Astyanax mexicanus: one gene and its partners. The protein of the gene in region 1 purifies or fractionates together with the protein of each later gene. This does not show direct contact. Links are inferred from orthologs where the notes say so. Each region holds a gene or a part of one and is shown on either strand. Other genes may lie near its edges. The genes, in order: stau1, rpl6, fmr1 and eif2ak2.

The links.
Region 2: the proteins of stau1 (region 1) and rpl6 purify together in Homo sapiens (affinity purification with mass spectrometry; 4 studies listed by BioGRID and IntAct, with this or other methods). This does not show direct contact. The link is inferred for Astyanax mexicanus from reciprocal best matches to the Homo sapiens genes STAU1 and RPL6.
Region 3: the proteins of stau1 (region 1) and fmr1 purify together in Homo sapiens (affinity purification with western blotting; 3 studies listed by BioGRID and IntAct, with this or other methods). This does not show direct contact. The link is inferred for Astyanax mexicanus from reciprocal best matches to the Homo sapiens genes STAU1 and FMR1.
Region 4: the proteins of stau1 (region 1) and eif2ak2 purify together in Homo sapiens (affinity purification with mass spectrometry; 4 studies listed by BioGRID and IntAct, with this or other methods). This does not show direct contact. The link is inferred for Astyanax mexicanus from reciprocal best matches to the Homo sapiens genes STAU1 and EIF2AK2.

What each region holds. Positions count from the first base shown.
Region 1 is NC_064412.1:10,366,682-10,374,837, forward strand, and holds the start of stau1 (double-stranded RNA-binding protein Staufen homolog 1), read left to right. Parts: upstream 1-4,573; 5' UTR 4,574-4,774; intron 4,775-6,719; 5' UTR 6,720-6,856; coding exon 6,857-7,052; intron 7,053-7,232; coding exon 7,233-7,354; intron 7,355-7,466; coding exon 7,467-7,644; intron 7,645-7,906; coding exon 7,907-8,060; intron 8,061-8,156. Other genes in the region: pbrm1l (polybromo 1, like), read left to right, coding at 17-208, 664-828, 1,972-2,030, 2,512-2,716, 2,806-2,969. UniProt on the Homo sapiens protein: Binds double-stranded RNA (regardless of the sequence) and tubulin.
Region 2 is NC_064419.1:277,363-285,890, reverse strand, and holds the start of rpl6 (60S ribosomal protein L6), read left to right. Parts: upstream 1-5,305; 5' UTR 5,306-5,324; intron 5,325-6,469; coding exon 6,470-6,619; intron 6,620-7,647; coding exon 7,648-7,746; intron 7,747-8,178; coding exon 8,179-8,322; intron 8,323-8,528. Other genes in the region: acaa2 (3-ketoacyl-CoA thiolase, mitochondrial), read left to right, coding at 1-93, 1,155-1,302, 1,377-1,552, 2,198-2,327, 2,415-2,485, 2,578-2,732, 3,445-3,529.
Region 3 is NC_064417.1:21,673,222-21,681,387, reverse strand, and holds the start of fmr1 (synaptic functional regulator FMR1), read right to left. Parts: upstream 3,679-8,166; 5' UTR 3,420-3,678; coding exon 3,369-3,419; intron 965-3,368; coding exon 912-964; intron 1-911.
Region 4 is NC_064414.1:2,504,717-2,512,495, reverse strand, and holds the start of eif2ak2 (interferon-induced, double-stranded RNA-activated protein kinase), read left to right. Parts: upstream 1-4,487; 5' UTR 4,488-4,785; coding exon 4,786-4,895; intron 4,896-5,739; coding exon 5,740-5,881; intron 5,882-6,280; coding exon 6,281-6,417; intron 6,418-6,502; coding exon 6,503-6,635; intron 6,636-7,363; coding exon 7,364-7,416; intron 7,417-7,647; coding exon 7,648-7,779. Other genes in the region: gpatch11 (G patch domain-containing protein 11), read left to right, coding at 56-105, 871-1,097, 1,982-2,023, 2,100-2,220, 2,719-2,809, 3,187-3,294, 3,388-3,469, 3,602-3,660.

The DNA of each region.
Region 1 (8,156 bases):
TGCTGTCTGTACACAGAAAGGGCAGCTAAACTCGTGGAGCAGCAGGAGCGAGAGAGAGCCTTCCAACAGCAGCAGCAGCAACAACAGCAGCTGCAGCTTCAGCAACAGCAGCAGGCTTCCCCAAGAGCAGGTACCCCAGTCGGGATGGGGGTGGTGCCTCCCCCAACTGCTATGGGGATGCTAAATCAAGCCATGCCACCTATGCCAGGTAACCCCAAATCCCATTCAACCCCTTTCCCCAAGACAATCAAGATGCAGCATCTGGGCACCCTCCAAAAAATCCCTTCATCTACTGACCTCATCCATAACCCAACTCATTCCCAACATTCATCAGTTATAACACACACGCCAGCACCCCCAAGTGTATCTAATATGCTTTGGTTCATAATGCTGGCGATTTTGTATGTATTGAGTGTGTAATAATTGATACTACTTCTGTTTATTGTTTTTCTTTTTTTGCATGGTTTCTGTCTTTCTGTAACATCACATGCAAATACTACTTCTTTTCTGTCATTTGTCTCTCCTAGGTTTGACACTTATGGCTCATGTTATTCATTCTAACTCACTCCTCTAGACTTTTATTTTGTAGTGCATGACTCCAGACACATTTGCATGTCACCGATGCATGGATTCTTTTGTGTTGTCTCTCCCTTCTCACCCAAGGCATGATGGGAAATTATGGCCCACCCTTCATGCCTATGCAGGGCCCTCCTGAAGGCATGATGGGTATGGGTGGCACGCCTCCTCACCCTATGGGGGTGCCCCCGCTGCCCCCTCAACACTACTTTCCGCCGGGCATGGCTGGGTACCCTGGTATGCCCCCTCCTGGTAAGAACAATCCCACAAGCAAGCAACCCACCACCCAATCAGGGACAAAGTTATGTTATAGTAAACGTCACTTTTTTACCCTCTATGACAAGAATGATATTTTAGAAAAGTAGAAAAAGGTTATTTTTTTTTTAAATAAATGTTTTGAAGATTGCAGATAAGAATCTTATATAAAATGTAATTTCTATTTTCACTTTTCGTAGCAAACTTAGCATTTTAATCAGATGTTTTAGAGCAAAGAAGCATGTATTCTTCCTGCATAATGGTGCCTGAAGTTTACAAAATAAAAAATATTGGAGGATATAAACAGCAGAATATACTTCTCTACATATTCTTACATAAAGGATTTTTTTTTATTGGCATGTCGTGTAGTTTTGAGGCTGGTGTGGTGGTGTTGGCTATGTGTGGATACCTACTTATTTAAATATTTCTTCTAGTCCTTCTAAAATATAGGCTAAATAGATAGCTCTGTATAGGTAATTACAATTATATGTTCTATTTAGAACAAAGTAAATTAATAATATTTTTTTTTACTGATTTATTTATTTATTTATGTATATACTCAAATTAAAACTAAAATTTTTGACTAAAAAGAGAATCCAGATTTCGGCATGTACCTTAAACATCTGTGAGCATTATTAAAAACAAAAGCAAGAAAATTCTGTCTTAGACCATAAAGTAATGTGGTCTTGCATTGGTGGCTGGTTTGCAGTAATCCGTGTGGCAGTAAACTTTTTTTTTTATTTTATTTTTTTATTTTTTTTTAATATAACTGCAATTGTCATAATTGATTGATTTATTATTACAGGTAGACGAATCTGTCTCATTCTCCCTTTACTGTGATATTAAGTTGCTGATGATGGCAGTGGTTTATTGTAGTTATTTCTCACTTTCTCACCTATCCAACTGTTGGACTTCTTTACAATCTTTACAATTTGCACATGCAGTCACCTTTATTCTACTAATAAAAGTTAGTTCTGTAAACACCAACTAACACACCAAAGACACACATCACACTAATTTACACCTTTTAATCAATGTAGACACATTTAGCAGTTGCTATTTAAATAAGCAAATCTATTAATAATCTAATGGATCGCCAAACGTCACCATCATTTTCTTTTTTTGATCTTTTTTTTAAAGGTGTATTGGGCCCTGTTATGAATGGAAGTCCTGGTCCAGGAAATCCTTACGGCCTTCAGGTGAAGATTAATTTTAAATATAAATTTTACTATTTACTTTGCCGCTTGTACAGGTACGAGTAGTACAGGTACATTTGAATTTGTTTGTACTCATTCCTCAGGTCAAGCATTTTATAAAGTTTTAAGAAACCTATCCATATATACATATTGTCTGTAGATGACCGTTTAAATACAAGTGTGCAAGATATCAGTATGTCTACGATGAGCACATAATTACAAAATGTGCGGGTTATAAAACAATGTTGAATTTGTGTAACAAAATAGTGTATCTGCTTAATACAGTAGACTAATCATAGTTTTCTGTTATCTTATTATCCCAGTCTTACTGTTGTGTGCAATCAACCTAACTGAAAAAAGAAAAAAAGCTGATTCTGATTGGTCCGTGATGTCTGAGGCTGTTTTCTTGATGTATTTTAATTTTAGTTCTAATGCTGTCTATATGCACAGTGAACTGCAGGTCTAATGCTGTTTCCTTTTGTAGATGGGTGCATACGGTCCAGGGCAGCCAGCTCCACCGCCATATCCAAGCCAAGGTCAACCTGCTCACCAGCAGCCAGTCATGCCCATGTTTGTTGCTCCACCTCCCAAACCACAGAGGCTCCTTCATTCAGAAGCCTATCTAAAATACATAGAGGGGCTTAGCGCAGACAGCCCCACAATCAGCAAATGGGACCAGAGTCTTAAGGGTAATAGAGAAAATTAAGTGTCCAGATTGAAACCTGTTTATTTATTTTGAAAACATTGTTACAAATCAGTTTTTGCTTTTTCATTTTAGCTCAAAGGACAGACGGTCGCCTGAGCAGGGAGCAGGAGAGCCGTCTTCCTTCTCACTGGCTGAAGAGTAAAGGCGCTCACACCACAATGGCTGATGCGTTGTGGAGACTCAGAGATCTGATGATGAGAGACACTCTCAACATCCGGCAGGCCTACAATCTATAACCCTTTAAACTTTTGATGCTCAGGATCCTAATTTATGCAAGACTATACTTCAAACCAAATCTAATATCCTTTCTAAAGCAGCTGGTTGCTCAGTATGTTTCATAGCAATAAAAGAGTTCATCTTATTTTGTTTAGAAGTAAAGGTTTTAGTAATATCCGTGGTTACATTTATTAATGCACTGGAGTTGTCACAAATGCATTAGCTAATTTATAACTACTGATATGGAGTTGTCATATCAGCAGTGACTGAAATTTTTAGAAGAATTAAGATGAAATATGGTTACGTTGCTTCATTGTTTTGATCAATACATGTATTTTATTGGCTACACTTTTGTTGAGTTGAACAGATGTGTAGCGCTAACATCTCAGACACTGATATCTATGAAATATGTCTCTGGCTTTAACCACTTGAGGTCTTATTTATGATGTGAACACATCAGGTGGATTAATAATACAACAAGGTCGTATTTTACCAATCTTTTTTATAAAGGTGCAGAATAAGCTCTGTTTATCATTATTTTATTGATGTGATGTTTTTTGCATTTTGTATGGTCAGAAATAAGGCAGATGTGTGAGTTTGTACTTCAGTCCTTACCTGAATATTTCCACATAAAATTGACAATAAGAAAATACACTGTTGGTTTCTTTTCTTTATTTAAGCAATCGTGACTCTTTGTCATAAGGAGTATATTAAAGCCTCAAGAGTTGTACAAACAGTAGCAATAGAACTTAAAATGCAATGCCAAAGGGAGAATGGTTGTGGATTTAAAATATAATTGTCAGAAAAAATTACTGACTTCAGCAAGATGTGTACAAGAAAACAGGGTTAAAACATATAATATAATAATGTAATATGTATGTTCTGTATGCTTGTATTCAAGGATCGTTTCAAAAAGAGATCTCAACCCAAGCTTTTTACTTAAGTTATTGTATAAAAGTACTGGTTTAGCTATAGATATATAACAGTACCAGTCAAAAGTTTGGACACATTGTTTTGACACCAAAGCTGTACAGTAACATGTGGAATCATCCTGTAAACATTAAGGGTTAAACAAACCAGAATGTTTTTTTTTTATACTTTAGATTCCACATTTAGATACATTACCTTTGATAAATACAGTACTACTTCTAGAATGTTATCAAGAGAAAGATGGATGGTCTCAAGCGACTAAACAAAGCTGAACTGCTTGATTTTTTTTGCATTTTGCACTCAAAGGCAGCGTGTAAGTCTGGTGGAGAGAGCATGCCAAGACATGAAAGGTGTGATTAAAAATCTGGGTTATTCCACCAAATATTGATTTCTAAACTCTTAAACAATAAGTGTTAGTGTTTCTAAATGAATATGAGGTTGTTTTATTTGCATTTTTTGTTTGTTTAGATTATTTGTTTCTCATTTTCTGCAAATTGCTCTAAAAGCTCTAAAATGAATATTTCTGCTTGGAACTTGGGAGAAATGTTGTCTGTAGTTTATAGAATAAAACCACAATGTTTTTTTTTTTTTTACTCAAACATTTAACGTTAGCTATAAACATTAAAATAAGAGAAACTGGTCATTTTGAAGTGGTCTCCCCCCTTCTCAAACCTGCCTCGCATGATGTCACATCCTGGAAGTGGGCGGAAAAATAGGCAATTCTCTTTAGTGTTTGCCCTGTCCACCTTCTCCGCTCTACCTCACCTACATTTTAATTCAGAAACCCCCACAAAAAGCCTCCCATAAACCTGGATCTAAAGCAGGCCAGTGCTAAAGCTCAAACCGCGTCACTCATGGACTAATTCCCGGGCGGACCTGCAGTATATAACCCGAGGTGAGGAGCGGTAATGTGGCGGCGCTGAGCTGCAGAGCAGGGAGCAGAGCCGCTAGGTTAACTAACGCTAGCTCTGTTAGCTAGCTCCTGCTTTTTTTAAGCCCCCACCGGCAAATACCACACTGTACAATCCTGTACCTATAATAATGCGTTAACTGTGCGTGATGGAGACGTTTTATAGGTCTTAGACACGCAGTTGTCATTTGGCTGAAGTCTTGTTTTGTGTCTTAGCTGGCTAACAAGTTAACGTTAGCTTAGATAACCTAGCCATAGCTGTAACAATAGCTAGCATGCTAACCCAGTCTTTAGCTAGTTAACGTTAGCTATTTCCATCTGTTCTCTCTGTTTACACGGTAACAGTGGCTGGCTAATGCTTTAATTTAGGTTTACTTTATTTTCCTGGCAGCTGACACATTAATAATACAGTATATGTATGTATCTTGAGGTTTAAAGTAAATGTAACCTAGCTAGGATAGCTATTGTTATCTGTCAAGTTGTAGCATATTAATAGGTTTGCAAGCTTAACTAGACCCCTATCCTTGATTTAGTAAGTTAAAACTAACGTTATATATATTTAGCTTACGTTACCTAACCTAGCTGTCTATTTTTCATTGTATATTAGCTCCGTCGTTCTGTGTTGTCAGCTGCCTGACACTTATTCATTAATCTAACTAACTAACTTGCCCCCTATCCTTTCTTTAGCAAGCTAAAACTATAGTGAGCTATATAACAGCTCTGGAAAAAAAGAGACTACTTAATTATGTTTTCCCCTTGATTTTACTTAATTAAAAACATCTGTAATATAATCAAGAGGAAGATGGATGATCACAGCCATCAAACCAAGCTGAACTGCTTGATTTTTTGTTTCACCAGAGGTGGCATAAAGTAATCAAAAAGCAGTGTGTAAGACTGATGGAGGAGAACATGCCAAGATGCTTTAAAATCTAATAAAAAACCAGGGTTATTCCACCGAATATTGGTTTCTGAGCTCTTGCAACCTTATGAATATGGACTTGATATCTTGATTGTAGTTCAGGGGTTTTCAGTTTGGTAAAATCAAATAAACTCATCAGTTTTAAGTGATCTCTTAATTTTTTTTGCAGAGCTGTCTATTTAGCTATCTAGCAACTAGCTTAGCTGTCTAATTCCCATTGTATAACTTTGTTGTCTTGTGTTGTCAGCTGCCTGACACATCATTAATCCTTTTACCCTGGTCTTCCATGGTCAAGACAGGACACCAAAAAGACCACCAGAGAGCAGCTAGGCTACACAGAGCTAAGCTACTTAACTTAACTATTGTTTGGTGGTGGGTCATCATCAGCATTGCACACAGTGATTCATTGTCATACTGACGTGGTGGTTATGTGTTAACCTAGCTAGCTAGCTACTGTACTCGTGTTGTTTTGAATTAAGTGGATCAAATAAACACCTCACCACCTCACTGTCACTGCTGGACTAAGAATATTCCACCACCCATAATTATTTAGACAACAGTACTGTAGAGTACAGTTTGTGTGTTCCATTTGTGTAGTAAACTAACAAAAAAAACTAAAATGGATTTACTCCTTTTACAATGGACAGCTAAAATATAGTCTGTAATTAGTTATAGAACTACAAAGTGTTCTTGTATGAATAGAGCTTGTAATGGGCAGTGAGTGTATAAACAAGAAGGTGGTCAGTCAATACATCAGGACTTTGATGGCGAATAAGCACAGGAGCAGTTACTTTTTGTTTGCCATCCCTATCATCAGACGTATTCTTCTCAATGTTATGTAAATGCATATTGATATGCTTTGATTTTTTATTTTATATTTACATTAGGTAATAAGGTCTTAATCTCCATCATGTACGGAGTGTATTTACTGGACACTTGAATCTCATTGCTGTTGTACGTTGAATTATTTAAACATCCTTTAACATTTTTTTTATTCCTCACTTCCTGCAGGTAGAGCTTTGCAGTCTCCTTCCATTTAAAACACCTGCATTCACCTTTCCCTTGCACATTCTTGCAACCTCTCCTGTGCGCTTTTCTCCCTCCACAAGACTGCAAAGCATCTTCTGTATCCACACAATCCAGTCAAAATGTCCCAGGTTCAGTTCCAGTCCCCCACCACCACCACCACTATGGCCAGTTCTGCCCCTGTACAACTGACCCCACCCCAGCCTGGGTTCAGCATTCCCTCTCCTTCTGGCTCCCTACCTTCAGAGAGTGCCAGTCATCCACTACGAAGCTCCGCCTTGCCCTCAGCCTCAGCCACGCCCTTCTGTAACCCTACAGGTGAGTGAAATGTATATAGAAGACTAAATATAGTAATTACGTTATAAAGATGTGGTTTTAGTGTACTTTAGGCTCAGAACCTGTTCTGAATGTGGGAGTTGGTCAGATCTTCTCAAAAATACAGAAGTTATAGAATACAATGTAGCCTAATATTACTGTTTCCACTCTGTTCTGTTTCAGTATCTAACATGGCAAACCCTAAAGAGAAGACCCCCATGTGTTTAGTGAATGAATTAGCCCGTTACAATAAGATCCAACCTGAGTATAAGCTTCTCAGCGAGCAAGGACCAGCCCACTCCAAGGTACCACATACACATACAGTTCCTGAGACTTCTCTTCTGTTTGCTTAGATTATTTCTGCATTCATGTCCCTCATTTTTGTCTTTCTCTGTCTCTGACTCTCCTCTGTTTTAGATATTCTCTGTGCGGTTAACTCTGGGGGAGCAGCACTGGGATGCAGAGGGGACCAGCATAAAGAAAGCTCAACACTCTGCAGCAGCTTGTGCTCTTGCCCAGACGTCGCTGCCCAAACCCAGCAACAGAGGACCTCGCCATCAGGGCAGGAACCCAGGTGGGTTCTACAAGGGCGAGTGTACGTTCTGTTACATTCAAATTCTATAGTCTGTGGCTTCCTTACCATCTTCAGTCAGAAGAACTAATGCATGTTTGCTTTAAATAGCCTTTCTTTGATAAAACTTTTAAAATCTTTACTGGTTCTGATGGCTTGTTTTAGTTTGGATTTAACTTGTCATTATTTCAGTACAACTTAATTCTTTTGAGGTTTACATTGCATGCTGCTTATGTTATGTGAAGGCCAGAATATGACTTTGACTTTAACTTCCTTTTCTTAATAGCAGACAGCATGACGCACACTGTGGAGCTGAATGCACTTTGTATGAAGTTGGGAAAGAAACCAATGTACAAACCTATAGACCCCTACCAAGGGATGAGACCTGCATTCAACTACAACATCAGAGCACCAGGGCCTTATGCCCGCTCCATGCAACAGTATGTACTCTTTCTTTTGAAACAGGATGTTTTTACAGGGTTCCTGGGGGTCCTTAAAAAGTCTTAAATTAAAATCTGGGTAATTAAGGCCTTAAA
Region 2 (8,528 bases), on another chromosome or scaffold:
GTTGTACTGTGTGGAGGGTCAGAGAGTATGAGCCAGGCCCCGTACGCTGCTCGCAACATCAGATTTGGCACCAGACTTGGGCTTGACCTGAAGGTGGGGTTAATTTTTATTGGTTCGCAAAAAGAGAAATATATACATATTTATTTTGTATTTATTTATTTGTTTATTTTTGCTGTCAAATAACTTTTTGGAGTCCTAAAAGTTTTTTTTTTTTTTGCACATAAAATGTAGGAATTTTAAATTTAAGATTAAAATTTTAACATTTTTTAAATGTAAATAGTAAAATAAACTTATGTGTTTGGCCAAATAAGAGAAAAGACTTTATCAGTTTATTTCTTCACAAACTGCCTGTATTTGTTTGTTTACCAAAACCTAGCTCGAGTAGCTCTGCTAAGGTAAACTCCTGATTAGAGTAGCACTGTGTAGGTAAATTCTTCATTAGATTAGCAATGCTAAGGTAAATTCTTGATTAGAGCAGCACTGAGTAGGTAAATTCATGATTAGAGTAGTGCTGCAGAGGCAATTTTTAATTAGGGCAGCGCTCCCGAGGAAAACACATGATTAGTGTAGCACTACTAAGGTTTGTATGCTGAGATATTAAAACTATTATTAAATTTAAGTTTTTTTTTTTAACTGCATTATGTGACAACAATGTGTTTAGTTTATGTAATTGATTCAGTGGTGATAAAAGTGACAAAATGAATGACAGAACTTTAAAACAGTGTTCTGTATTCGGACAGACTTTTTATTTTGTAAAAATAATGATTTATGTACAACACTCTCTAGGAAGTAGTGTTAAATTTTTAATAAAATACAAATAAAAAGTAGTCTCATTAAAAGGTTTAGAGAATGACTTCTAATATTCTGTTCTAAAAATAACATCCTGTGTTTGTGTGTGTGTGTGTGTGTGTGTTTGTGTGTGTGTGTTTGTGTGTGTGTGTTTGTGTGTGTGTGTGTGTGTGTTTGTGTGTGTGTGTTTGTGTGTGTGTGTGTGTGTTTGTGTGTGTGTGTGTGTGTGTGTGTGTGTGTGTGTGTGTTTGTGTGTGTGTGTTTGTGTGTGTGTGTTTGTGTGTGTGTGTGTGTGTTTGTGTGTGTGTGTTTGTGTGTGTGTGTTTGTGTGTGTGTGTTTGTGTGTGTGTGTGTGTGTGTGTCAGCTTGAGGACACTCTGTGGGCGGGGCTCACTGACCTCCACATAAAGACACCGATGGGCGTCACAGCAGAGAACCTGGCAGAGAAATATCAGATCAGCCGGGAGGACTGTGATCAGTACGCCTATCAGACTCAGCAGAGATGGAAAGCAGGTGAATTTTACACTGCAGCACCAGTGCTTAACTCACTATCGGCTCGTTTCTAACCCGCCTGTTTCCTCCTGCAGCTCACGAGGCCGGATACTACACCGCTGAGATCGAGCCCATCGAGGTGAAGGGCAAGAAGGGCAAAGTGCCCATGACCCACGACGAGCACCCCCGTCCCCAGACCACGCTGGAGCAGATGGCCAAGCTGCCGTCCGTCTTCAAAAAAGGAGGAACAGTTACTGCAGCTAATGCTTCTGTGGGTATCAAAATAAAACACATTTTACTGTTTATTATTAACTCACCTTAAAATTAATACATATTAAACACAGAGAGAGAAACTGTATAGTGTACGCTAGGGGTGGGAGATATGGCCCTAAAATAAGAATTTTATCAGGTTTGTAACAGAAGTCAATGATCCAGAATATCATGATACTAATAATAATAATGCACTCCAAATATCTCCATATATCCAGGATTAAAGTAAAATAAATGATACTGGACAGATATAATCTGTCTCTAGTAGATATATAATTGGGAAATGAGAACAGTGTGGGACTGGGGACTGTTTACATTAACACGTGATTAATCTGGAGATTTTAACACGTTATTTTCAATGGCAATAATCACGTGACAAAATACACAGAGCCCACTTCAGTATTACTGGTTTAATTTGTGTTTAGAAAGTAGATTACTTTTTAATTTATACTGAAATTTAGAGAGTAATAAATAAACACAGAGCACACATCGTGTTTCCACTGTGTTGTTGAATGTGGAATATGGAGCTACACTTATAGTAGCATCAACACTACCAGGTCTGCCAGAAACACCACACTACACCACTAGTGTTACATAAATGATTATAAACATTGTTTTTCACACTTTAAACAAATCTTTCTCTCAGGGTGTGTCGGATGGTGCGGGAGCCGTGGTTATAGCCAGTGAGGATGCTCTGAAGGAGCACAAGCTCACCCCATTGGCTAGAATCGTGGCCTATCACGCCTCAGGCTGTGATCCCAGTATAATGGGCATTGGTGAGTTATAATCATGCACTTAAAACTGAATAAAAAGTAGAAAAATAGTTGTTTTCTCTTTGTAAAGTGAATTTAATCTCCCTGCAGGTCCTGTACCTGCTATAACTGCGGCTCTGAAGAAGGCGGGACTCTCACTGAAAGACATGGACCTGGTGGAGGTGTGTGCATCAGTTTGATTTGATTACTCATGTCATGCAAATGTGTTATTCAAGTTTTAGATATTTAATCCAGGTTTTTGTTTGGTTTTCAGGTGAATGAAGCTTTTGCTCCTCAGTATTTAGCGGTTGCTAAAGCTCTGGGACTGGACCCAGCGAAGAGTAACGTTAACGGAGGGGCTATTGCTCTCGGACATCCACTCGGAGCCTCTGGAACCAGAATCATCGCACACTTAGTGCATGAGCTCAGGTAAACAGACTTTTAATGTAGGGAAGGAAGTCCTAAATGAGGGAAATCGCTCTATAAAATCAAACTGGTGATTCAGTTTTAGTCACAAGCTGTGGCTGAAGAGGGAAACAAGGTAAAATAAGAGCTCATTTTTACTCATTTATCTGCAATTTAATCAGTTAGACACAATTGTTCAGTGTTTTTTAGGAACTGTGTGCAGGGTGTGATATCCCAAAATAGCCTAAATATAATTAACAGGGGAATTTTTAAAAATCTTTTTGATCTATTAAAAACATTTGTAATGATTCGTTATCATGAAGCCATTGATTTACCCTTTCACCTTTTCTAAAAGAGACTTTAAGCTCTAAATCAGGTTCACTGGGGGGAGCGAGTGCTGTGCGTGATCAGGCGTACTGATCATTTTACCAAATTGCTTATAAAAGTCTTGTTAAATATGTCTTGTTTTAAAGTTTGGGGCTAAAAACAAATAATAATAATAATATAAAATAAAAATGTTATATACAGGCTTCCAAAGCCCATTAGAAAATTTAAACAAAATATATTACTTTTAATTTTATTGGATTTTTTTTTTTTTACAGAATATGTTGAGTCTTTTTTTGTGTGCATTAAACATAGGAAACATATAGGAAGTGCATAATTCAACTTCTGAAAGGAACAAAAGAATTTAAATAATAATCACTTTAAATAAATATTGTGTTTTGTTTGTCTCTAGACGCCGCGGCGGCCGGTATGCTGTGGGCTCAGCCTGTATCGGAGGAGGACAGGGCATTGCCATAATCTTGGAAAACACGAAATAAACAGAGCGTTAATCATGTATATGTTCATACAGACATCATGTTTAGACACCATGATTAAAGAACACTCCACAGAACTCCGCCCACCTGCCAATCATCATTAAATCACCATGATCTTCAAATAACATGCATATGAAAAAAAAAACATCTTTAATAATAAATCTCTGAGAACTCTTAATGTGTTTATAATGTGAATTGTGTGACATTAAAAACAACTTTGAACACAAATTAATCCTGTTAACAAAACTACAGAGTCTGGGGATGCATCAGCGCTTTTTTTAGTTTTAGTGCTGTAAATCTCGTAAAGTTCTTCAGTGTGGAATATGGAGCTACACTAGTGTTTATTTCCTCCTTCAAACCTCTCAGTTAAACTCAGTAACTCATCACATTACAATATTCCCATTTAAAAGCATCAAAAATACCCTGAGATTATTTAGTACATGGTAAAAATAAAAATCGGGATCTTTTCTGCCAGAGCTAAACCACACTTCACTATTGTTATGGTCTCCCTCCCGAACAGTATTTTTATACATAAAAATCACATTTAATCACAAGTAATCAGTAGAAATACTCCAACATTAACTCTAAATTGTTCCACTGAAAGGTTTTCATTCTTCTTCTGTAAAAAATAAATGCAGTTTTGAAAATGTAAATCCTTGTGTTCTGTTTTCCAATAAAGAGAGCAAGTGCAGTGAAATGTAATGTAATAGTGGTTTTGCATTTTATTTTTATTTACTTATTCTGCAGGTCTGTGTGGAAAAGCAATGCATCTTGTAGATTGCATTTACATTTTTCTACAGTAGCGTTTGCTTTTCAATTTGGCAGTAATTCCTCTTTATATTTACAGCAGCTGTGAATATATATATATACAATCTTTAGGTCTGGAGCTCCGCGTGGTGATGAGAGTGTTGGCCTACAGGGGGCAGTCTGACTCCTCCTGCCGCACGAGCTCCACAACAAGAACCGCAGAAAAAGAGCCGAAACACCAAAGAGCCGGAATAGAGGATAATACCCACTGCAGAACATCTTCAGTATTTGTCCCGAGTGAGTCCAGAAAAAATGAGTGTGTTCATGTGGAGCAATTGAGAAAAATCCTATTTTATAAACGTTAAATAATTTTAAGACTGAAACACAAAGCAGTGCAAAATGTTTGAGAATTGCAGGGGTTATTTTATAAGCTTTTAAACTCTCCAGCCAAACCATTACAGCTCAAGGGAGCAGAAATATAGTGCATTTACTGCATAAAATTGTTGATGTTTTGATGTCTGCTGTAGAAAAAATGACAAATATGGTTACATTTTCTATTAGATTTTTTTTAGCAAAATGCATTTTTATCCTGTTATAAAAAAAGTTATTTTATTTTATTACCTGTTTAGCCCTTTCAGACATGAATTATCTCTTTCATTTTGACCTTTTTATTTCATAAACCATCCCTAAACAGGATCTGTCACTACTGTTTATCCAGAGTTTTTGCAGTAGGCGGAGCCAAGCTACTGTTTCATTAATTTATAAACTTGTTCATTGGCTGGTTGATGGTCTATTCTGATGGACAACAAACAGCTCACAAATAGTGTTGCAGTTTGTGCAACAAAACATTAAAAAATAAAGAAAATAAATGATGTTTACTGTAATGGATTCAGGGTCTCGGTCTCCCGCGCGGGCTCCCTCTAGCGGCTGGCGGTGATTCTCCGCCATTTTGAAGTGGTCAGTCTCGCCCCATAAACCAGCTCTGTTTACACGTCATGCGCGTATATATAGGTGAAAGTCCCGGATGTCGGTCTTTTTTCCCTAGCTTAAGGTAATCACGCTCTCCATGGCGATGTTCTCTCAACACAATCTATAATCATCCGCTTTATCGGGGCCGCGCTGTGGGTTTAGAGCTTGAGAGAATGTGCTGTGGAGTTTTTAAGACTCTAATATGTGAAGATTTCGTGTGTAAAGAGTGAATTTAGGGATTAGATGATGTGTTTTGTGGGAGCGGGCCGCGGTCCGGCTGAGTGGAGCGGTTAGCGGGCAGCACGCAGTCGCTCCGGGCTCGGTTCCGCTGGAGCTTCCGCTGAGCTGCTGGATTAATTTTATTATTATATTTATTATGAGTTTAGTAGTGTATCTGCGGTTCTGTAAAGTGTGTGTGTGTGAGCTGTGCCGCTAGTGTTTAGTGAGTGTAATGTAGTGAGTATGCTATGCTAAACTAAGCTAGGCTAACGTTATATTCTCATTTATAAACAGGACAGTTCTCTTAGAGTAATTTATACTCGTTTACTTGCTGTTTAATGTATATAAAGTTCGTGATATTAAGCTTAAACTGCTCATAAATCAGATTATTCTGTTATTTTCTCTGTGTTGCACCTGTGTGATAGTTGTGGTATAGCTAGTTGCGTCAATATACGAGCTGTAGCCTTTAAATGACTGTAAAAGTGTTTTATTTTAGCTTAGTTTAACACACTGGCTGTAAAGTTATGCTTTAATTAAAGACATAGAGCTATGCATTTATATAAGGCTATTTTATTTTAGTTAATACAGTTTATATGTTGATATGAACAGTATAATAACCCCTGACCTTGGTGTAGCTATGCATGCATTAATAGTGCTGGGAGATGATGGAAAAATATACTATTACAGTATTTATGATTAATCCTGTGCTGCACAGTATTTAGTATTTATCATGTTTGACTCTCAAAATGCACAAGCAGTGGCAGACTCTTAAAAAAATCTCTGCAAAATCCAATACACTTTAATGCAGAGTACATTGATTTTACATATGATAAAAAGATGAGTCTTATTATTATTATTTTTAATATACACTATATAATGAAATACACTGTTATATAAGTGTTGGTTAAGTAGGGATTGTATGCATATTGTTTTTTTGTAGAAATTAGTGCTTTGGGGAGGTATTGGGAGGTTAGTTTGATTTTGACTGATGATGTAATTTGGTTTCAGATGGCTGAGGGCGATAAGAAGAAGGTCGCCCGTAAGGCGCACTGCAGCCGTAACCCCGTCTTGGCCAGGGGCATCGGCCGCTTCTCTCGCTCCGCCATGTTCGCCAGGCGGGCCATGTACAAGAGGAAGACCAAAGCACCTGAAACCAAGGTACCACACACTCACCTGTCCCCCAGTCCTCCTGCTGCAGGATTTCTATTACAGGGTTCCTGCAGGTCTTAAAAAAAACTTAAAAACAGGCAGATTCCACCAAAGATCTTAAATTAGTCGAGTGTTGATGATCTGTGGCACAATCAGATTTTTAGTTATTAATTATTTCTAATTCTTTAGTTTAACTTTTAATATATCGTTACATGGCATATCTACATCAAATACAAGGTATATAAGTGGGTTATAATGAAAAGTGTGTGTGTGTGTGTGCGCAAAAATAAGTGTTTGGCTGTTTGATCTCAGTGCGTTCTTGTTAAACACAAACTTACTAAAGTTGTGTTTGTTGATTTTTGGCAACGTTCTGCAGGTTAAACTTTCTTTCTGTAAATTATTAGGTTCAAATGATCAGTATAACAAAATTCAGAATAGAAATGTAGCTGTATTTAATAGATCCACAGTGATTCCCAAGCTTTCAAATGTATTTCTACATTGTATTCCGAAAAATAAAATTCTTGCCAGAGACATTTAAAGCTTTACTCTGTCTAATCAGAAGTTCTGTGTTTCTGGGGGCTGCTGGTGTTTATACCGGTGCTGAAATACAAATTCTATAATAAACAGAGGAGTCCCAAAGAAACGGACCTGTTTACCCACTACCTGTCCGTCAAACACTGACTTAATCACCAGAATACTGAGTTAATTCAGCTTCTGAAAACTGTTTCAGTCAGAGTTTAATTGATAACTACAGAGGTTCTTGCAGTAGTGTTTTGTAAGTGGTCTCCAGTAATCAATATAAATCTCACTGAACTGTAAAAGAAGACAGTTCAGTTGGGGACCTCCGTGTGAAGATTCACTGAGATTTGGCTTAAATTTAAAAAGCCCTACCAGATATGAAGTCTGTTCATAATGAATTATGGAAATGGTGATAATGCTGATATAATTATCTAAACTTTATATTTAAGTAGTTTTTGCTTGTTTTGTTTAACTGTTAAATCGATCAAGTTGTGATTAATTCATGTTCTGTTTTTTAGATTGAGAAGAAGCTGAAGGACAAGACCCCCACCACCGCCGTCAAAACTGTTGGTGGAGACAAGAATGGAGGCACCCGTGTCGTCAGACTGCGCAAGATGGTAAATAGACTGGAATTTGTTTTTATTGCTTTTATTTTATGAGTTTTAGGGATGCAAAATAATTATATAGGATGTCTAGATATTTCAAACCAATATTTGTTGATTTTAGTATTGTAGCAGAATCACTTGCTGCTTATTAACATAAAACAGGCCAAAACTGACCATGCTAAGTGGAAAAATTAGCTTATCAATATATTCCTTTTTTTATTAGTTTTAAAACTTTGTCGCATCATCACACCCTGTATTTTTTTAAAAAAGTCTTTTAAAGAGGATCAATCAGCTAAAAAGGGAACAAATCTCAGGAGAAACCTTTTTAATTTTATTGGTTCTGTACAGTTGGTTAAAAGCTAAAATGTACGTATGTATGACTAAGTTATATTGAAGTGTTTATCTGCATTGTTGCATGTTTAATGTTCCTTATCCTTTTTCCAGCCCCGTTATTACCCTACGGAGAATCCTCCCCGTAAGCTGCGGAGTCACGGCATCAAGCCCTTCTCTCAGCACAGGAGGAAGCTGCGCTCCTCAATCAGCCCTGGAACTGTGCTCATCATGCTCACCGGGCGCCACCGCGGAAAGGTACCAAACCTTAACACTCTTATATTGTATGTACAGTTATTGCATGTTTATTACAGCTTATTACACTCCAAACAATCACTGATTGGTGGAAACTTCACACTAGACCTCGAGCAGTTTGGACTGTGTGTCTCTCCACTCTTCCTCCAGACTCTGCTCCCTTGATTTACTTTAAATGAAATGTAAAATTTACTGATGATCAGTGATGG
Region 3 (8,166 bases), on another chromosome or scaffold:
AAAACTCTGGAATGTAATCAAAAAGGAGAACGGATGATCACAAGCCATTAAACCAGGCTGAACTGCTTGAATTTTTGTACTAGGAGTGGCATAAAGTTATCCAAAAGCAGTGTGTAAGACTGGTGGAGGAGGAGGAGAACATGACAAGATGCATAAAAACTGTGATTAAAATCCAAGATTATTCCACCAAATATTCATTTCTGAACTATTAAAACTTTATGAATATGAAGTTGTTTTCTTTGCATTATTTGAAATCTGAAAGCTCTGCATCTTTTTTTTTATTTTTGCCATTTCTCATTTTCTGCAAATAAATGCTCTAAATGAAAATATTTTTATTTGGAATTTGGGGGAAATGTTGTCTGTAGTTTATAGAATAAAACAGCAATGTTTATTTTACTCAAACATATACCTATAAATAGCAAAATGAGAGAAACCGATTCAGAAACTGAAATGGCCTCTTTTTTCCCAGAGCTGTATATCAAAGTCAAAATTATACTGCTATGGCATTTTCCCCCAAAATACTGTGCATTATAAAGTGCATAATAATGTCCATGAAATAATGATACAGTATGATTTACATTCTGAGACTTTGGTTAAGATAACAATGCTTATTTTTAAAGAAGCAGAATAGTTACATTCTTTAGTCAAATACCAAATACAAGTTCCTGTGTTCTTTTTGCACAGAAAAAACACATTTACTTAGAATGAGTCCATTAAGTTTACCATACTGACTCAAATATCATCTGGTACTGATGAGACTGATTTTATCAATACTGCTCAGTGTTTCTACAGACCCTCAGGTGCCACTGAGCTCCACTCAGCAAACAGCACAGCAAAATACACAGCAACCACTTTTCCTACTATGAAAATAAATTATCACTTATATCATCACAAAATAAGTGGATACTCACTTGTTCTCAAAAGCCACAGTGACTGTGTTTTCATGCACATCCTTTATTAAGGCCTGCAAGGAGAAACATTCAGTCAGTTTCTACACTGAAACTACTTTCAATATAAGCAAACAGTTATATACACATAATGTAAATTCCAGTCTTGAAATTCATGAAATGAAGTGATTTTAGAGAACTGCAATGTTAATGAAGATGGCAGAATTAACAGAAGGAGAAGAAGAAAAAATACATTATTTTTTAAAAGTCAATGTAAAAAGATTTTATTTCAATTTTGAGCATTTTATTGGTTCATTTGTCATGTTTTGGACCGCTCATTCCTTTTGAACAATTCATTTTGAGTACAAACAATTATATTGATATGACAAAATCTGAGATACAAGGTTTTTGTTTCTGAAGTTATACTGAAGTGTCTAGGCTAGACTAATTTATAAATGTGTATATAGAATTCACACATCAGGGCATCCCTACTTTTAAATTGCCTGCATGCAAAATGCAGGTTTAGATGTACTCTAAAGCTTGCACTGGGTTGCAGCATTTGAATAGATTCTGAGTAGTGTAGCACATACAAGTGACAACAATATAACCACCTAAAATAGGTGATCTATAGAAAGCACACAAAATGAAAAGGAACACGTTTTGCCCAGTATTCATCATTTTGCACTTTTTTCATCTTTGCCACATTTACAAAGAGCACCACACAATTGAATGACCTATGCTTTAATTAGTATTACATTGTATTCCATTAGTAAATTATGTGTAACATTAGACGACAGCTAAGCAGTAAAGCCAGCAGAAATATGGGGAAACTGAGAATTCTTACAAATGGTTTCTGTCTCTTAGATCTTACTTTAAAATAACAGAATTATATTAGTATATTATTATGACCTGTAATTGTGTTGAGCAAAACATTTTTAATTATCTCATTACAGCACATTACTCCATGCTGGTTACAATCTGATCAAATCAAATTCAGTCTTTCCTATTCATTTGGCCTAACACCAAAAGTGCTTTTTTTTTTTTTTTTTTACATTTTCAGCCCAATAATGTTGGTTGCCAAATACTCAGTGCATCAGTATTTGACTAAGTAAATCCTTCTCCTGTATCCCCTCTTTTTGGAGCTGCTTTACTTAGCTTGCTATATAACTACAAAACATCTACTATATCTAATACATTAAACACAATTAAGATTAAATTTAATTTCATTGTCATTGAAAAAAGTACTAGCCAAAAAAGCTCAATGAAGTTAACATCTAACCAGCAGAAGTGCAAATGATTGAAGATATGAATAAAGAAACTGAATGAACAGCGTGCACATACGGAACCATAAATGGAACAGGTCAAATGCAGCATCAAATGTTGTATAATTGTGTTAAATATAGAAAACATAAAAGTATATTTTCACTGTCCAATGAAAAACATGCATCTCCAAAACAACAACTATACAGGAGAAAGATAAAACCTTCCTAACTTTCAATGGAAGTCAATGTAAAAAGAGTTCATTTGAGGTCATTTCAAAGAAATTCTGGAGGTCCGTTCACAAAGAATTTTTGATAAATTGTAAAGGAACTGTTTTTTTGTTTAAATTATGTCGAAAACTAAAAAAAACAAAAAGGGAGATACGTGTTTTTCATTGTACAGCGACATATACAGATGAGAATATAGAAAAAAGTACACATTTACAATACAACATTTGCCTCCAGTTCTCTTACACTACCATGCTGTATGCACAGATAAGCAGAAGTAATAAGTAATATTAGCACATATAAAATAGCAGTGGCCAGCCAGACAAACAGGATCAGCACTGATCTAATGCCACAAACTTGTACAGAAATGAACAGGTGACACAGTGCTGACTGCTGGCCGCTCAGGACATGCCACACATAGGCTTCAAACACCAGCATAGCAAATGTAGTTAGCTGTAATGATGTGAACAGTCTTTACAATTCAGATAAACAGAATCCTAACTGAAACTGAAAGTCCTAATAATGAACAGAAGCAGATAAACCAGCTAACTATGAAGTCTGAGTCCCAGAATCACACAGTGTGTAGCACAGCCAGCTAACCACCATCCCCTGCAGCTCCCAGCATTACGAGCAATGGCAGCTAGTGGCCTAAAACCAGCCGTCCAGCCATTTTAGGCTTAATGTGAATCAAATGTAGCGCCCGGCTCTGAATTACAGGCTTAAAACAGCGTTTAACTGAAAGCTAGTGCAGACCAGACCCCGGTATACAGCGTTATGAGCGGCTGAACCGAGCTTAATGTACCGCAAACACACGCACTCTCACACAGCTTACATACAGACAGACTGCCCCGGCGGGCCGGGCCTAGCTACCGAGCCTGGACGGCTCCAGCCGCGCACGGAGCCCCGCAGACCCCCAGCGAGGCGCGCTGGGTCCCGGAGACGGAGCTAAACTCGGAAGCAGAGAGATAGAGGGGACGGAACGCAGGAGACTCACCTTATAGAAAGCCCCGCTCGCCCCCCGGACCTCCACCGCCAGCTCGTCCATGGCGCTGCTAGCTGCTGCTGCCCGCAGTGTAACAGTAGCTGCTGCTCTGGGTGTCTGTGGCTGCTGCAGCCGCCGCCGTGTGGTCGCGCCTCCTCCCGCTTCTCCTCTGCTGCAGGGCGGCGCGCTCGGTGCTTCTGTCGCGTTAGGCTGGAGAGCAGGGGGAACAGTGCATGGAGCCCCAGGCCGAGGCTCAGGCTGCTGAGGCTGCTGTTGCTGCTCGTCGCCGCTCCGCTCCGATGTAAACACGGAGACACAGCTCCCTCCTCCCTCCCGCACCTCCACACACACTCACGTGACCCGGAGCTGCGCACTACGTCAGTCCCTCACTCAGTCAGTCAGTCAGTTAGCGCGAGCACGCTCCCCTCATCAAACCCTAACTAATGCTGTCCATACACTAACATTAGATCAGGGGTGTCCAAACTTTTTTTGATGGGGGCCAGAAGGAGAAGTATATTTGAAGTGACGGGCCACAGACTCTGTATTAAAACAAATAATGAAATATACCACTTTTTTTTCCTGATTATTTCATTTACACACCATTTTACTTGACTTACTATCTTTATCTATCTTTGACAGTGTTGTGTAAACTAAGATTTTTCAAATTGATGTTTAATTTCATGATGTCTCTTAATATTAAAAAAAATTAAACAAATTTTACACTCATTTGCCCTTTTTCTGCGCTAAAACTGCTCACTCTCTCCGCTTATAGACTCTTTGCCCCGTTTTTCTGCGCTAAAACTGCACAACCTCGTCGCTTTTAGACTCTTTGGTCCGTTTTTCTGCACTAGAAATAAGCACTCTCTCTGCTTTTAGACTCTTTGGCCCGTTTTTTTGCACTAGAAATGAGCACCCTCTCCGCTTTTAGACTCTTTGGCTGGATTTTCTGCGCTAAAACTGCACAACCTCATCGCTTTTAGACTCTTTGGCCCGTTTTTCTGCGCTAAAACTGCGCACTCTCCGCTTTTATACTCTTTGGCCCGTTTTTCTGTGCTAAAACTGCGCACTCTCTCCGCTTTTATACTCTTTGGCCCGTTTTTGTGCGCTAGAAACGCGCACCCGCTCCGCTTTTAGACTCTTTGGCCCGTTTTTCTGAGCTAGAAACATGCACCCTCTCTGCTTTTAGACTCCTTGTCCCGTTTTCCTGCTATAACTTCACTCTCGCCGCTTTTAGACTCTTTGGCTGTTTTTTTGCGCTAGAAATGCGCACTCTCTCCGCTTTTATACTCTTTGGCCCGTTTTTCTGCGCTAAAACACCTAGCGTTATAAAAACCTGGTTAACAGCGGGCTAACTTTCATTCTATTTCTAAAATACCCCGCGGGCCGTAGTTTGGACACCCCTGCATTAGATGATTTTAGTCTGACACCCTCTCACATCTAAAGACAAGTCACAGACTAAAATTTTGCAAAGGCTGGGGATCACTATTTAAAAGATTGCTAGATTAACGTTACTAGATTCTTTCTAAGATTATTTATCGTGCTTCTGGTAGAGTTTACATACAACACATATTACGTATTAAGTTACAAATAATGTGTATATCAATACTGTGATTTATCAGAGACTCAACTTTTGTCCTTATCAACAATTACATTTTTTTTCACTCTGTTAGTTCTTGATATATGTATATGTATCATAACCTAGAATCGGATTCATCCGCTCTTAAAGTAGACTGCATCACACCTGCCCAGTTTACATTGATTCTTCCGCATGCTTGCTGCAATTACCCATTCTCACCAGAGAGGGCCAAAAACTTAAGCACATCAGCTTTAAAAGTACTAAACAGACACCAAAATACTCTGTGAAGCATTTAGGTGGCTCTTGTCTGTTTTTTAAGGCTGGTAACTCTGATGAATTTATCCCATGCAACAGAGAAAACTCTTGGTCTTACTTTGTTTTCTGGGGCAGTCCTGATGAGAGCCAGTTTCATCATAATGTTTTTGACGTGTGACTGCACTTTAGGATACTTTCAAACTTCTTCAGATTTTTCGGATTGACTGACCTTTATTTCTTAAAGTCATTTTATCTTTACTTAATTTAGTAATTCTTGCAATTGGAGTAATGGATTAGAACATTACTCAAATAGAACTATTCACTGTATACCGATTTACCTCTTAACAACTTTACAACTGATGCTCCCAAACACATTTAGAGGCAAGACATTCTTTAAGTAGTTAATTCTGGATGAGTTCAGCACAGCTGTTAACTGAAAGCCATTCCAGGTCCTTCCAGGACATTTTAATATGTGCAAAGTACCGTCTCAGCAAGAGGTTTGAAAACTGTTTGAAGAATCTAACAGATAAAACATATTCTGATTTGTTTAATACTTTTTGTTTGCTAAATAATTCCATGTTTTTCTTTATAGTTAGGATGAATTTAGTATTAACAGTATTATCTACAATGCAGAAATTTTTCAAATAATGATAAAAGCACTGAATTTAAGGTGTGTTTTGAATATTTGAATATAGGGTTATACTTTAAGGTCTCATCTTAATCTAAAATGACCTATAGTCCTAATTACCTTTAATTTCCTGCTTTAAAGTAAAGACTGATTCCAAGCTATCTATTTTTGTCATTAGAATGTTTCCTGAATGTTACAGTTAACATTCTTAGAAAGTTCAATCTGTCAAGTTTTCTAGATATTATTAGAATTCTTATTATTCTTATATATATATTTTTTATTTAACATTTTAAACATTATGGTATGGTTACTGCAACATCACTTGTTTTAATCGATGTTAAGTTTTGAGAATGTTGCTTTTAATGTTTTTATAATGTTAGTATTCATTTAGATGGGAACATTATGTGAGAAACATTCTAATATCATTTTAATGCAAACCATTATAATTTCACATGTTTTTAGAACGTTTCTGGAACATTATGCCTGTAATGTTAAAAGCTAACCTTCCTGGAACCTTTTTAAAAATAATGCAAAACATTTTCAGTAAGTTTTCTGTTAGCTTGGTATAGGCTTGTAGTTATTAAAAAAAAAAAACATGTATTTACCAAGTGGCATAGTGCACACCATCACTGTCCAATGAAAAACATTTGTCTTCAAATGTGCAGTTTCACAGGAGACAGATAAAGCCTTCTTAACTTTCAATTGAAGTCAATGTAAAAGGAGTTTATTTCAGGTAAGGAAAACAAGACCTTATAATAGTTACATCAACTATTAAATCAAATCAGATTTATTGTAACATCAGAGTGGTACAGGTGAGTGAAAAACTTGGGTGCACAATATTTACAACATAGAGTGGAATAAGTAAATAAAATAGAAAATATACAATTAATGTAATATGCAGTACAAAATAACTTGCACTGTAGATGTAATGTAAAATATAACTGAATATATAGTTATTACAATGCCATATACATGTGCAAATAATCTAGATTATACCACAGTTAGTTTCGACTCTGCAATGTGATTGGCTGAGAGGCGTTCTGTGAGTGCCGTTATCAGCCGGTAATGCTCTCCATGTATTACTCCGCCACATACACGTAACCTAGCAGTGATGCAGTGCTTACATGCCAATCAGCGCAGCTACAAACAGAGCAGCAATGGATCTCTTTTAATTCACATTCAGAGTTTTAAAACCAAACAGATCATATATATTTTTTTCGTTCTTGTTAATTTTCAATCTTTCAATAAACAGTGATAATGGATCTGTGGTATAAACGCAATAAAACACTAAAGGTTCGTGCTATAACGTGTAATATTAGCACTGCTGTGCACGACCGCAGCACAGCAGTGCCAATATTATGTATTATGTATTATGCAATAATACAATGCCCTTTTATGTATTATTGCTTACTGTAAGTATGTGTGCGGAAGTGTGGAGATAATTCAGGTGTAACTAGTATTAGTAACTATGAGTAAAGTGCAGGTACCGAGTGAGTTGTGTGGGAAGTACAATGTGCAGAAAGGATAGGTGCAGTGTGAAGTAAAATGCAGGGTGCAGTGAGTTTGTATGTGATGGCAGTGGTGTGGGTTGGGCAGAACACTGTTCTACTGGCTGTTCAGCAGCCTGGTCACCTGGGGGAAGAAGCTATTTCAGAACCGACTGGTTCTGGTCTTCAAGATTCTGAGCCTCCTTCTACTTGGCAGCTGTGAGAACAGGGAGTGGCTTGGATGGGAGGGGTCCTTCATGATCATTCTAGATTTCCTCAGGTGGTGGTTGGTGTATAAATCCAGAAGGTTTGATAGCTGAACCCCAGTGATGTACTGAGCTGTACGCACTACCCTCTGCAGGGATTCTTTCGCTCAAGAGCAGTACAGTTCCCGTACAAGGTGGTGATGCTGCCGGTCAGGTGTAGAAACTCCTGAAGATGATGGGGTTTAGACCCAACCTCCTTAGCCTTTAATAGGAATCCTGTTATGTTAAAAACTCTAACCCGAATCAATCATTTGCTATTCGATTAGAACACACACTCAGATTGGTGCCATAAGTAAGAAAATAAGTGAGAAAATCATGGTACTGTATATAAGCTGGTAAAATGATGTGTGTGCAGTGATGATGTTCTGTTTAAATGGATATATTTTCTTTAGGAATGTAGATTTCCTCTGTTGTGTTTTGTCTCACTGTGAACGTCACACAGGCTAATGGCGGTAGTAAAGGGCAGTGTGATTGAGATAAGGATAAGGACTTGTTTGTGTCCTTGTTTACAGTGTATCTCTAAATCAGATGTGCTGGTATGGCCTACAGTAGCAGGACTGTGGGGGGAATATGGGCGATTCCATCATTGTGTAATGAG
Region 4 (7,779 bases), on another chromosome or scaffold:
AGTCTTCGCTTGCTTCACTGCTGTTCCACAAGCTGCTGTATTTGTTAATAAAAAAATGTCTTCAGATGAAGAGGATTATATGTCTGATGCTTTTCTGAACCCACAGTAAGTGTTGAGAATAATCTGCAGTTAATCCGCGTTTTAATCCCTGCCAAATAGTAATTTAGGACTAGTACGCTCAGATCAGGATTAGTGAGAAGCTAACAGGCTAACAGTAAACATTAGCACCCTCAGTAATAACTCTAATATTTAACTATATTAAACTGTATAATGCAAAATGTTGAACATATTTTGTATTATGCATGATACGAAAAGATAACTCATTAGCGTGTACAGCGTGATTTTATTATATCGTACTTTATTATATTATATTTATTATATATTTATTATATTATATTATATTATATATTTTATTATATCGTACCTAACAAAGTTACTTTTAGCCAGTTGATTCTATTTAATGGAAATAGTTTTTTTCTTAATGTTTATGATCATTTTAACAGACATCAAAATACTTTTGTCTCAATGTAGAATTTTTCCTTTTACTGCAGTAATATTTTACCTTCCCTATCTTTACTTTAGTTCAAATACAGGATTTATACACTGCATAAAAATGCAGTTATGAATATGTGGTATTACTGTGCACAGACTTATTACTGTCTGCTGCAGATAGCAGATATATTGTGATGTAATTGATGTAATTAAGGGAGATCTGTATTGTGATGATGTAATTATAGCACATATATTGTAATGATGTAATTAAATCAGATCTATGTTGCAATGATGTAATTATAGCAGAGTTATATTCTGATGATGTAATTAAAGCAGATATATTCTAATGATGTAACATGGTTCTGATTTGTGAGCCAGGCTGGACGTCAGGCCCGGCGTGCCGATGGTGAAACGGGAGAAGGCGGCTCGGAAGAGAGAGGATCTCCATAAAGAAAAATGTGTAGAGAATCGACAGAAAAGCATCAAACAGCAGGAGCTGGAGCAGCGGCAGGAGGCGCTGCAGAGCTCCATCAGCACCGAGAACAAGGGCTTTGCTCTGTTACAGAAGATGGGCTATAAGGCCGGACAGGGACTTGGGAGAGAGGGTCAGCAACGCAAAAACATCTGACATCACATTCACAGTCACATTAAGGAGATCGATGGGCTCAGAGTGGTCCAGTAGTCTAAAGCACTGCCATTATTATCAGGAGATGGCTGGTTTAAATCCCGGTCATGTAGCTTGTCATCAGCTGCCGGAGCCCCGAGAGAGCACAATTGGCCTTGCTCTCTCTGGGTGGGTACAGTAGATGGCGCTCTTTCTCCTCATCACTCCTAGGGTGATGTGGATCAGCACAAGACTGCATCTGTGAGCTGATGTATCAGAACCGAGTCGCAGCGCTTTCCTCCAAACGTTAGCGCTGTGATGCTACTCGGCAATGCTACATCAGACTGAAGCATATTTCCTTTAGACAGATTATAAAAGTGTGAGTGAAATAAAATATAGATATATATAAGACCAAATTGCATTTTTCATAACTAAGCTTCATGAACATATCCATATTTTTTTTTTATCAGAAACATTGACATTAATTTTGTATTAACATTGTCCAAAAACTTTGAATTGCTTCCCTGAATCTAATCTAAAAGTGGTCAGTTGAGGAGTCATGTGACTGATCATTTGCAATGACAGCTCGTGTGTACCCACATTTTATTTTATTTTATTTATTTATTTTTATTTTTTACAATTGTATTTATTTGATGAAGACTTACACCCTATAAAGCTTAGGCCTTTAACAGTAGGCAGCACACATTAGGTTCAATTTTCTCTCTTTACAGAGATTCATAATAATTACTGGTTGATCAGCCCCATCTATAGGCAGAATATTGTGTTTGCAGATGTATTTTACATGGTTGTTAACTGTGTTTTGGTTGGTCAGTTCATCCGTGCTCTAATAGTTAATTATTATTAATAGATGTTATTATGTTGCAGGTTCTGGGCGAGTTGATCCGATTCCACTCAACATTAAAACAGGTAGGAGGTGTGTCTGAGTTACGGGTCTGATCTAAAATGTTCTAGACTGGAAGGTCCTGATGTTTGTGTTTATTAGACAGAGGTGGGATCGGATTGGAGGAGCTGAAGAAGCGGAAGGCTGCGGAGGAACTGGAACATCACCGCAAAAAAGTCCAGATCAGAAAACAGATGGAGAAACGAAACCTGGAGGATTTCAGGTGAGCACCGGTATTTGGGAGGTGCATGTGGTCAGGAGTGTTCAGCATAAGTTAGATCTGTTTTTAACCATGTTATTTATGTTTCAGTATATTGTGTGTACAGTAAGGTGCTGTGTTTTTTACTTCATTATTTACATTTTAAATGTTATAAATAATAATGAATTGAGACATTAGTTAAATAGGTAATTCATAATAACTATTATTAATATCTTAACTAGTGTGTGGTAATAATTAGTTGAAACATTTTGTTGTTAATATACTCTTATTGTAAATATTTGCAAGAGTAATGTAGAGGCGTCTATAGCTGATTGATTATATTAGCATTAGACGACACTAAAAAAAAAACTAAAAACTAAAAATTGCAACCTCTAGAGTGCATTTTGACAAAAAAAATACTGTTTTTAGTTCTACAAGACAAAAAAAATACTGTTTTAGTTGTGCAACCCCTAGTTTGTGTTTGTGTTTAAATAACTAAATCTAGACCTGTTTACAACACAGAGATCGTAAGAGGTCGGAGAAAGAGAAGCAGCAGGCAGAGGCGGATCTGAGGCGGAGCCAGCGGGCCTGTCAACAACTCGACACCCAGCAGGTTAAAAAAAATTAATAATCTGATGATCAGATCTGATCAGCTTCTTTATATGTGTGAGTAAGATTTTGACCTTTGACGCTGTAGCCGCAGCCTCCAGTGTCCAGATTCAGTTGTTTTAATAGAAACACTAAGTGGTTGCAGCCCAAGCTTTATAATTTATTTCACTACCCCACCCACAACTGAAACCCTCCCTCACTGCTGTTGTCCATTTCCAATACTTATCGTATGAATTACAAATTGTTGCATTGCCCCTAATACGACACATGTCTGATTTTAGAACCACATATGAAAGTGGCCCAAATCAGAATAAAAACAAACAAAAAACGATTTTATTCTGTTCACACGCAGCCTCAGTGATGCCTGTTTTTCTGTTTTAGGGTAAAGTCGCACCGAAGGATGTCTGGTATTGGCCTGAAGTGATCACTGAGGAGGCAGAGCATCCTGAAGAGTCCAGTGATGAGGAGAGTGATGAAGAGGAGATGACGGTAAAAAAAAATAAACATGCTGACTTAAGAAGTATAAATATGATTAATATTCAGCTTACATATGATAACAGTGTTGTTTCTTTATGGTTTCAGTCGTTGGAGAAGCTGCAGTATATCACCTCGTACCTGCGGGACGTGCATTTCTACTGCATATGGTGTGGAACGGCATACAATGGTACACAAAAAATAAAAAAATCATTTTTGTTCATTTTTTTATTTTATCTTTTCTAAAAAAACAAGATTGTATCATAATAAATGTTTGATCGCTTTTTAAAATAATGATCAGACATTGTTTCTTGCTTTATAGATGAAGAGGATTTAAGCTCAAATTGTCCTGGAGATACGGCAGCAGACCATAATGATTAAATCAACAGGCTTCGTCTGGCACATCTGTCGTATAATTTTAGTTTTCATTATCTTCTTTCAATTTGTTCTGAAGAATTTTGTCTTTGTCTTGATATTCAAATAATATTTATTTGTAATAAATTCTAAAAAATATTTTGATTGTGTGTCTGGTTTGTTGAAAGGTGAAAAATCACATTCTGATGGAATAATGTAAGAATTTGGGAGGAAATGTTTATTTTTCAGTTGACGTTACTATACATTTTGAAGCATGTTTATTGTGTATATTTATTGTGTATAGTAAAGGTTGTATATTGTTTGCTGAAATAGAGATCCATGTTATCTGCTGGTGTTGGTCCACTGTGTTTCATCAAGTCTAAAATCAGTGCAGTTTTAATTTCCTGCAAAATCTTACAACACAATGTTCCCCTCTGCTGACAACTTTACAGGAAATGTGGATTTCTTTTTCCAGCAGGACTTGGCACATTGCCCACACTGCTCCAAAAGTACCAATTGGTCTAATATAATATTCTAATTTTCTGAGACACTGATTTTTGGGTTTTCATTGGCTGTAAGCTATAATCATCAACAATAATTGTTATATAATACAAGATTATTAACGCTTAAAATAGATCACTCTGTGTGTAATACATCCATGTAATATATGAGTTTCACATTTTAAACTGAATTACTGAAATAACGTAACTTTTCAAGCATATTTCTAATTTTTTGAGCTGCACTCGCTGTTATTAGTGGCGAGATCGGACTTTTATTTTGAAAAAAAAAAAAACGTTGCATCGTGGGGCTCGGCTGGAAACCGCTGCTGTGTTCCTCTAGTTCCGCCCTCTGTAACACGCGACCCGCGTCGGGCGGATTCTATTGGTCGGCTGTGTGAAGTCGGGCTCGTGCAGGGGAAGGTTTTTGATCAGAAACGAAACTTATGCAGGTTTCTGTAGATCAGGAGCGACAGCCGGAGCTCAGCTCTGATCACAGGAGCTTTTTTACAGCGTTTTATTATTTTATTAAAAAGTATTTATGTTTCCTTTAAACTAACTGATCTCTGGTGTTTTTTCACTCTGTGCTGCTGATTGGACTGTTTGGATTTTATTGATTTTATTGATTATATTGATTATTTTGATTGATTTATTAATGGCATCTAGCAGTAATTACATTGCTTTGCTGAATGAGCGCACTCAGAAGACTGGCCTGACCTACAGGTTTGAGGATGTGGACACTAAGGGTCCAGATCACAGCAAAATGTGAGTCCACCTGATTCCTGAACTTAACTGTAGCTTATTGTACACCTGTACAGGTGAACTGTAGCCCGGATGAAGCAGCTGTTTTTACTCTCTGTAGAAATTGACATTAGATTTCCCTTCACATTGAACAACTACAGGATATATTTATGGTTTTATCTGCTACTTTGTATTTGTAAACTACATATTTGTATATTTTAATTGTTGGTGCAGTTCTATAGATAGTAATATTTTTAAGTCCCAGTCCTCAATTCTATGATGTGGCAGTATTTTTATAATTTATTATTTTGTTACAATAACTATTTTTGTATTAATCGGTAATGTTGCTATGTGTATTTTCTATTTTATTTTACTTATTCTACTCTATGTTGTAAATATAGGTCTCTGCATATCAGTGGAACTTGCACCCAAGTTTTTCACTCACCTGTACATCTGTACTTTTGTGATGTGACAATAAATCTGATTTGATTTTGATTTCATTTTAATTTAAATCTTTTAAATAATTTAAATCTTTGTCAAAATGCGATTATATGGAGACATTTTATCACTATCAAGGCATAGGATTTTTTTTTTAATTTGTACAATTTTACAGTTTTTACATTCTAAAGAAATGCATTTGACATACGTACTAAACAACAACAAAAATCCATAAAACTCCTCATCTATGTTTGTAATATTTATGATTAAATTCGTTTTTTTTATTATTATTATTGGTATTTTTTAATATCCCTGCTACTGTTGAACCTGTTTGGATCACCCTATAGAAAATAAACTTTAAGTATAATGCTTTAAAATGTTTAACCTTTAAAACAGTAATATATATATATTTTTTTAATGTAATTTTCAGATTCACCGTGAGGGCGGTGGTGAATAATAAACCCTATCCTGAAGGCGTCGGACGCAACAAGAAAGAAGCTAGGCAAAATGCTGCTAAGAATGCCCTCAGTCTCATACAGGAGGAGGAGCCAGCTAGTACAGCAAAAGTGGTGGTTAGTTGAGAAAATCTGCACCTGAAAAAGACAATGGTGGAACAAACTACCCTCCACTACCAGATCAGGAGAATCTCTCGCTATCTTTAATAAACTCCTGAAGACAGAGCTCTTCAAAGAGCACTTACTCTCCTAACACCTCTAACACACTAACTACTTCTAACCTCATTTCCTTCTTCCCCTCCTTCACTCCTCTATCCTATTATTCCCCTTTGTCCTCCTTTTATCCCTATCCAAAGATGTTTTACCTTTAAACTTATTTTACATTGTACTTGATTATTGTAAGTCGCTTTGGACAAAAGCGTCTGCTAAATGTAATGTAATGTAATGTAATGTAATGTAAACATGAATACATAAATATATGCATATATATATATATATATATATTTACATCTACAGGTAACCAGTCCCTGCTCACTCGATGGTTTACCAAAGCTGACTCAAGCCAACTTTACCTGCTGGCTGAATGAATACGGTCAGAAGATGAGATTAAATTTTAAGTTCGTCGAGTCGATGCCGCTGGACTCCAACAATCAGCAAGTATCTAAACACCTCAAATTAAATTAAACCTACTTATAATGAGGCGGTATTTAATATTATTTATGTGATTTTTCTTTTCAGAATACAGTATGCCTGTAAGTTTGTTTGTGGTGATAAAGAATATCCGACAGCCGTCTGCAGAGTAAAGCGGGATGCGAAGGAGGAGGCGGCTAAACTCGTGTATAAAGCAATTAATGGGGAGAATAACGCTGAGGTCAGTCACTTACTGTTTTTGTAAGTGTTATAAAGTGTTACAAACTGAAATTGTAAAAAAAAAAAAGAAAAATACATTACATTTGTGTTTTAAAACTTTTATCACATTTCAAAATGCTATATGCACGGCTAATGTAGCTTAATAAATAAGAATTTAGGTACATCACAATAGGCAAATCAGTCAATCCTTGTCCCAGTCCCAATAATTACAATCCCTGTATGACCTGCCAAATATTTAATGGTCATATGAGTGTGAAATATGAGAAGCAGAACATGTAATAGTCGTAACTCTAAATAACCAGAAAAAATCCATCAAGTCAAAAATAAAACACTCAGCTTTCAGTCAATTCTCATCTTATTTTGACCATCGCTGTAGTAATGCTAATTTCTGCTAGCCAGTCTATGAGGATTTAAGTGCTTATTAGCCACAAGCTAACGAATGTTAGTAATCACCTCCAAACATTTGGTTTAATAAAACATTGTAATTAAAACTCAGATGATTTTAGATTTCTGTATTGCCAGATTATTATGACCACCTCATTCTGATACCGCTACTTACTTTTTTTATGTATAGCACTTTTTAATTTTTTTCGACAGTGTTAATAGTTAATGCTTAGTGTTCATGTAAATGTATTTAATGAAACTGTGTGTCTTAATATTTCTAGTTTATTTAAACTTTAAACTACTTCAAAGTTATGATTGTGATTTTAACAATAATTTATATTGAAGGTTCCCGGTGAAAGGACAAACGAGACACAACAACCGAGCATGTCAGATCTCGGGTAAGTAATGATTTTTTACTTTTAAACACCAGTATTACAGTGTACAGACCTGGACCTAAAAACTGAAATTTTTAACTTAATTTTTTTATTTAAATTAACTATTAACTTTTGCGGAAAAAAAGAAACATGAATCAGGAATCATCTTACAGTTGTTCCATATGTTTAATTACGTAACACTGATTTAAACTCTGTGAAAACCTGAATAATCCTGTTTATTTTGTTTTCTCTTAGCTACTCCCTGACTGGTCTATCCCTGAGCCACAGCCTTTCTGAGAGCTCTGGATTAGATAATAATTTTAAAGGTTTACTGAACCACTACTGTCAGAAAAGTGGTCAAGCCTGGGACTTTAAACTGGTAGACAA